Linked DNA regions of Oryctolagus cuniculus. The protein of the gene in region 1 binds, or shares a complex with, the protein of each later gene. Links are inferred from orthologs where the notes say so. Each region holds a gene or a part of one and is shown in the gene's direction. Other genes may lie near its edges.

Region 1 (3,645 bases):
CAGAGCAGCGCAGGGTAGGCAGACGCTCCCCTGTTCTCTCATGCTGCAGAACGCCCACAAGGTCCCGCCCCCGTGGCTGATCGCCATGCAGCGGTACGGACCACCCCCATCGTACCCCAACCTGAAAATCCCCGGGCTGAACTCGCCCATCCCCGAGGTGAGTGTCGTCCCTTCTCGGTCTTGGCTGCCTCTGCTTGTCTGCTTGTCTCACGGAGGGGGTTTCTGTGTCCTTCTCCTCGTCTCCACTCTGGTTATAAAACAGAAAGGAAGTAACAGATTCTACTGGTTTAAAAAAGCGACACGCTCACGATAAAGTGTTCCCTCAGCATTAGCAGCCCAGAGGTGAGCCGAGCGGCAGGCTCGTCACCAGACGCGCCCAGGGCTTGTAGGACACGTGGTGAACTCACGGCCGTGCTTGTGCGGGCGCGCGCCGGGCTCCCCCGTCTGCTGCTGCGGCGAGCGCAGAAACAGCCACACCGACTGACCGAGGCGGCGCGTTCCCTGTGCCTCGCACGTGCGTCGTAGGCAGGCAGCTCCGATTTCATCTCAGCAACAGCATGACATTTCAAAACGGCAGTAAATTAAAAAAAAAAGTGAGGCCATTGAAGTAAAAAAGTGGCGTTGCTAAGCTTCAGATGAAATTGGAGGTACCAGTGCCGGAGGCCGCCCTCGCCTCGCCGTGCAGGGGAGTGTCCGGCCTGTGCTGTCTCTCTGACCGCCCTGTGCCGCCGTGGGGCCGCGGATTCGGTTCTCCACACTGTTTCCGGACTCCTGAGCGCACGTTCAGTCCTTGGAAGAGTGACTGCTCTAGGGCTGCGGCGGTCTCGAGCTCAGCGGTGGAGCTGACTGTGCCCCGCGTCTTGCAGAGCTGTTCCTTCGGGTACCATGCCGGCGGCTGGGGCAAGCCCCCAGTAGACGAGACCGGGAAGCCGCTCTACGGGGACGTGTTTGGAACCAACGCTGCTGAATTTCAGGTACGGGCCGGGTCCCCGCAGGCCTGAGGGTGCTGGCTGGAGGCAGCCGCTATAGCTCAGTACCCTGGTGCTGGGTGTTCCTCAGAGTGAAGAGGGGGCGCGTGTTCTGTGCTGCAGTGAGAGTGCGCTGTGCCCAGCTCGGGTCAGGGGCTGGCTACTTGTGCCCCTCCCACTCACGACAGCGTGGCACGCGGTAGCACTTAGTGAACCTTTGTCGAATGACTGAGTGATCTCTCCTAGACCAAGACTGAGGAAGAAGAGATTGATCGGACCCCGTGGGGGGAACTGGAGCCCTCAGACGAGGAGTCCTCGGAGGAAGAGGAAGAGGAGGAGAGCGACGAAGACAAGCCAGATGAGACGGGCTTCATCACGCCGGCAGACAGGTGGGCGCAGCGGCCCTGCGGGGTGCGTCCCCGCGGGCTCCCTCCCCGCGGGCTCCCTCCCCGCGGGCTCCCTCTTGGCCCTGCGCTGACTCCTCTCTCCTCAGTGGCCTCATCACCCCAGGAGGGTTCTCGTCGGTGCCCGCTGGAATGGAGACCCCCGAGCTCATCGAGCTGAGGAAGAAGAAGATCGAGGAGGCGATGGACGGGTGAGTGGAGCGGGCAGGCTGGGGCGGGGGGAGGTTTCTCTTCCTTCAGCTCTGGGCCAGCGGGCTGCCTCCGCCGCCCCCGCCCCCCCCCGCCCCCCCCCGCCCCTTCTGTCAGCGTCGTCGAACACCAGCTCTGGGCCAGGCTGTCTGTGGGCAGCGGGGAGGCAGCGTGAGGGAGGCCGTCGAGGGAGCCGGCCGTCGAAGGTCGTTTCAGATGTAGATGAGGGTGCTGGGGCCGAGGAGCCCGGTAGTGGCTGTGGAGGGGTGTGGTGGGAGGTAGTGGCTGTGGAGGGGTGTGGTGGGAGGTAGTGGCTGTGGAGGGGTGTGGTGGGAGGTGGACTTTGGGAAGACCTCATTGAGAAGGGGGTGTGGGAGCTGAGACGGCTGCAGATGGCCTGGGGCCGGAGGTGTGTGCTGAGGCCCCAGAAGCACAGCTGTGCACAGGCCGGGGTCTCGAAGCTCTGAGCTGTGGAGACGGAGTCCGAAGTCTTCCCCATTTGGCCCCTTTACCGAGAAGCGACCTCTCGGACCTCTGCGCAGCTCCCTTTGTCCTGTTTGTCTGCCTTTCGGGCTACTGAACAGTTTACTCCGCTTGGCTCTGTGTCACCTTTGCTGGCTGATGAGCTGACCTCTGTTGTGAGTTTCCGTGGTTGCTCATCGTTCCCACCCGCGTCGTCATCTGCCAGAGGCTCCGCACAGCAGGGCTGGCTTCTCTCCTGGCCTTTTACGCTGCTGTCGTATGTTTTACGTTACGTGTGCTATAAATCCTGTACTAGCACATGGCTGTTATTTCTGTTTATATGCTCAGTTACATTTTTTAAATATTGCCTTTTTAAAGGATTTATTTATTTATTTGAAACTTGGAGTTATAGAGAGGCAGAGGCAGAGAGAGAGTGTGAGATCTTCTGTCGGCTGGTTCACTCCCCAAATGGTTGCAACAGCCGGAGCTGGGCCGATCTGAATCCAGGAGCCAGGAGTTTCTTCTGGGTGCAGGAGCCCTGGGGCTTTGGGCCATCGTCCACTGCCCTCCCAGGCCACAGCAGAGAGCTGGATCGGAAGTGGAGCAGCCGGGTCTCGAACCAGCACCCATTTAGGATGCCAGCACTGCAGATGGTGGCTTTACCCGATATGCCACAGCACCGGTCCAATTTTATACTTTCTTTTTCTTTTTTTAGATATTTATTTATTTGAAAAGTAGAATTAGAGAGGTAGACACAGAGAGAGAGAAAGAGAGACAGATCTTCTGTTCGCTGGTTCACTCCCCAAATTGCTGCCGTGACTGGGGCTGGGGCTGAGCCAGGCTGAAGCCGGGAACAACTTCTGGGTGCAGGGGCCCAAGCACTTGGGTCATCCTCTGCTGCTTTCCCAGGCCTTTACAGGGAGCTGGATGGGAAGTGGAGCAGCTGGGACTGGAACTGTTGCCCATAAGGGATGCTGGCGCTGCAGGTCAGGGCTTTAACCTACTGTGCCACAGCACTGGCCCGTGGTCAGTTATCTTTTAGTGAGATTTAAATAACAACCATAGCAACCATAATTGTTGATAACATTTTCAATGTTCTTCCATTTCTTTGTGTGTATCTGGGTTTCTCTCTGGTATCATTTTCTTTTTCTTTTCTTTTCTTTCTTTCTTTTTTTTTTTTCATTTTCCTTTTAGTTGAAGGGTTTTCCTATAACATTTCTTGTTGTGGGTCTGCTGGTCACAATTTCATTCAGCTGAAAGAAATTTTTTTAAAAATAAGATCTATTTATTCATTTGAAAGGCAGAGTTACAGAAGAGAGGGAAAGACAGAGTTCTTCTGTCTGCTGTTCACTCTCCAAATGGCCGCAGTGGCCAGGGCTAGATTAGGCTGAAGCCAGGAGCCTAAACTCTATCCAGGTCTCCCACATGGGAGACAGGGACCCACGGACTTGGGGCATCTTCTGCCTTCCCAGGTGCATTAGCAGGGGGAGCTAGGTCGGAAGTGGAGCAGCTGGGATATGAACTAGTGCCCAAATGGGATTGCAGGTGTCACAGGCAGTGGCTTAACCTGCTGTATCACACACTGGCCCTGAAATCATTTTTCTTTATTGGAGATGCAGAGA
Region 2 (3,645 bases), on another chromosome or scaffold:
TTACAGACAGAGGGAGAGACAGACAGATCTTCCATCCACTGACCCACTCCCCAAATGGCCACAATGGCTGATCCGAAGCCAGGAGCTTCATCTGGGTCTCTGACACTGGTGCAGGGGCCCATGCACTTGGGTCATCTTCTGGTGCTTTCGCAGGCCACAGCAGAGAGCTGGATCAGAAGTAGAGCAGCCAGGACCGGTGCTGTGGCGCAATGGGTTAACACCCTGGCCTGAAGTGCTGGCATCCCATACAGGCGCCGGTTCAAGACCTGGCTGCTCCTCTTCCAGTCCAGCTCTCTGCCATGGCCTGGGAAAACAGTAGAAGATGGCCCAGATCCTTGGGCCCCTGCACCCACATGGGAGACCCAGAAGACGCTCCTGGCTCCTGGCTTTGGATTGGCACAGAAGACCTCTCTCTCTGCCTCTCCTCTCCCTGTGTAATTCTGACTTTCAAATAAATAAATAAATCTTTAAAAAAAAAAAAAAATGGAGCAGCCAGGACTTGAACTGGCGCCCACATGGGATGCTGGCACTGTAGGCAGCGGCTTAACCTACCACGCCATAGCTCCGGCCCCTGTTGTAATTTTCACGCTCTCTCCAGCTCCTCCTCTGTCCACGCCCTCCCTGTGTTTGGTGCCCACGGCAGTGGCGGTGCTAAGTACTTGAGCACTCCTTTTCCCATAAGACAGCGGTGCTTGTGGGCAGGTACACGGAGTGGAGCTATTTGACACAGCCGGTGTTCCCCTTTTGTTCCCCACAAAACAGATCTCCCCCAGTCAAATTTCCGCCGTTTACCCTTCGACCACTGCAGGTAAGGGTTTTGAAGGTTTGCCTTTCCCTTGCGGGTGCACTCTGACAGCAGAGGTGAGTCTGGCCTTGGGGGTTCTCTCTGGGCCCCCCGCACACCCCCACCTTCCCTGCATGAGGAGGGGGGACCCATGGTACTGACAGCCTATGGGCGGTGTTTGCTTACTGTGTGTATTTGCTGTGCTCTGCCTTTTAGCCTCATTCTGTTTTTTTTTTTTTTTAAGGTTTATTTTATTTATTTGAAAGGCAGAGTTACAGAGCAAAAGGGAGAGATGGAGACAGTGACAGTGATAGACGAAAGAGAGAGGAGAGAGAGAGAGAGAGAGAGGAGAGAGAGAGAGAGAGGTCTTCCAAATGGCCACAGCAGCCAGGGCTGGGCCAGGCCAAAGTCAGGTGCCAGGAACTCCATCCAGGTCTCCCACGCAGGTGCAGAGGCCCAGGCACTTGGGCCATCTTGCACTGCCTTCCCAGGCGCATTGGCAGGGAATTGGATTGGAAGCGGAGCAGCCAGGACTCGAACCTGTGCCCGTATGGGATGGTGGTGTTGCAGGCAGCAGCTTAACCCACTGCGCCACAGCACCAGGTCCCCTCGCCCTGTGTGTGTGTGTGTGTGTGTGTGTGTGTGTGTAAGTAAATAGTTGAAAAGCAGAGCAACCCAGAGGGAGAGAGTGAGGGAGACGTACAGCGAGTGAGTGATCCTGACACCCCCGTCAAGGTGGGTCAGCTGGACATGTGGTAGGAAAGGGCCAAGGGCTCTGCCCCAGGGGGTGCAGCCACTTAAGCTGGCCAGCTGGGCCTCCCTGCACCTGTCCACGGGTCCCCAGGAGGCTCCCGCTCAGTCACTGGTTGGGGAAGACCTTTGCCCCTGCTTGCCGGCACCTGGCTGGGGAGGGAGGGTGACCAACCAGGGCCCAGGTATCGCTGGCCGAAGTCTCTCCACCCCTGCCAGGCTGGTGCCGCCTCCTGGTACCGTGGTCTCCTCTGCACTGATGGGAAGACAGAGCTTCTGGCCTTGGCGCCTGGCTCGCCCACGAGGTGTCTTGTCTGTGTCTTGATGACCCCTGTGGGTTGTGGGTGAAAATGCACCTGTGGGTCACGCTTGGGAGCAGGTGCCTGCTCGCCACACACTGCCTGGCGCAGGCTGTGGTGTCGAGTCCCGCACTGCTCGCTCATCGCTGCCGCAGTTAGAGTGTGAGGGCCCCTGCACCCGCGTGGGAGACCTGAGTGGAGTTCCTGGCTCCTGACTTGGGCCTGGCCCAGCCCTGGCTGCCGTGGCCATTTGGAAGACCTCTCTCTCCTCTCCCTCTCCCCTCTCCCCTCTCCCTTTTTCTCTCTCTCTCTTTTTCTCTCTCTCTTTCTCTCGTCTGTCACTGTCTCCATCTCTCCCTTTTGCTCTGTAACTCTGCCTTTCAAATAAATAAAATAAACTTAAAAAAAAAAAAAAAAGGCAGGAAATGGCCTGGTGGTCCAAAGGAGGCAGCATCCTGGAGGTCGGGTAGCCAGGCTGTTCAGAGCGTGGGGGACCGACCTCTGCTGATTCAACTCCTAGGTGACAGAGCAGAAGCCAGGTGAGCCAAGGCTCTGGATGACTTATTGTTATGGTTATTAAGATTTATTTGTTTATTTGAGAAGGCAGAATTACAGAGAAAGAAAGAGAGAGAGGTGAAGAGAGAAAGAACTTCCAGGTCTCCTGTGTGTGTGCAGGGGCCCAAGTCTTTGGGCCATCCTCTGCTGCTTTCCCAGGTGCATTAGCAGGGAGCTGGATAGGAAGTGGAGCAGCCAGGGCTTGAACCGGCGCCCATATGGGATTGCGAGTGTCACAGGCAGCAGCTTAACCCACTAAGCTACCGCACGGGCCCCTCTGGGTGCCTCTGATAGGAACCGCATGCAAGGCCAGGGCCACTGGCACGACGTGATTCCCCAGGAGCACTCTCCATGCCTGTGGGGATGACTGTAGCCAGGCCTCGGGGGGCTCCTGTGCCCCCTGGCCCCCACCCCTGTGTCAGAGGGACTCAGGTCTTGCCGGGTTGTGTGCCCACCCCCAGGCAACCTAGGGGATTCTTAAGATGGCCGGGGGTAGGCAGGGCCTCTGAGATCATGCCAGCCCCGCCGGACCACCTGCTCTGTGAACAGAGAGAGGCAGTTCTGGTCTGGCCTCCCCAAGGCCACGCAGAGGGGAGTGAGGGCAGCCAGGACCCTTGCCTTGTCCTCACCAGTTTGTATGGGCCGTGCAGCGCGGCCCCAGAGTTGTCGGAGGGAGGCCCGAGGGAGGCCTTGCCGCGGTGCCTGCCTGAGGGCTGACCCAAGAGTGACTCTGTTCTCTCAGTCTCTCTCTACAGCCCTTCGTCTACCCAGTCTGCACCCCGGAAGGCGTCGTCTTTGACTTACTGTGAGTTGTTCTTGAATTCTGATCTAACACGTGTGGTGAGATTGTTGAGGACGTTGGGCCGATGTCGCGGTTTGTGGCTCCAGGCAGCACCAAGGCCGCCAGACCCCTGGTCCCGGCAGCCTGGGGAGACGCAGGCACCTGGGGCCATGGCAGCAGTGCCCCTGTGGCTGCCTGGAATTAGACCGGCCACCCCCCGCCCCATCCACCACTTGTTGGGGGGGGGGGGTCCCAGCGCTGTGTGCCCACTTCCATGTCCTAATGCAACCCGGCCTCTGTCATTTTAACTTCGTCTTGGGGAATAGGAAGCAAATGGGAAACTGCCATGGTCCCTTTTGTCCGTGAGGTAAGCACCATGGCTGAGACACGCTTATGAGCGGAGTGTGGGATCTGCCCTTGGCTTGGCACTGCCCCCACCCTGCGGCACGCGTGTGTGTGCGGGCAGCCCCGTGCCT

What was found. The genes of interacting proteins can lie anywhere in the genome.
Region 2: SF3B2 (region 1) and PPIL2 share a complex: the UniProt entries of both Homo sapiens proteins name them as parts of the minor spliceosome. The link is inferred for Oryctolagus cuniculus from reciprocal best matches to the Homo sapiens genes SF3B2 and PPIL2.

The regions. Positions count from the first base shown.
Region 1 is NC_091432.1:5,756,050-5,759,694, reverse strand, and holds part of SF3B2 (splicing factor 3B subunit 2), read left to right. Parts: intron 1-49; coding exon 50-157; intron 158-866; coding exon 867-974; intron 975-1,214; coding exon 1,215-1,357; intron 1,358-1,461; coding exon 1,462-1,563; intron 1,564-3,645. UniProt on the Homo sapiens protein: Component of the 17S U2 SnRNP complex of the spliceosome, a large ribonucleoprotein complex that removes introns from transcribed pre-mRNAs.
Region 2 is NC_091452.1:29,123,046-29,126,690, reverse strand, and holds part of PPIL2 (RING-type E3 ubiquitin-protein ligase PPIL2), read left to right. Parts: intron 1-762; coding exon 763-808; intron 809-3,130; coding exon 3,131-3,193; intron 3,194-3,645. UniProt on the Homo sapiens protein: Has a ubiquitin-protein ligase activity acting as an E3 ubiquitin protein ligase or as an ubiquitin-ubiquitin ligase promoting elongation of ubiquitin chains on substrates.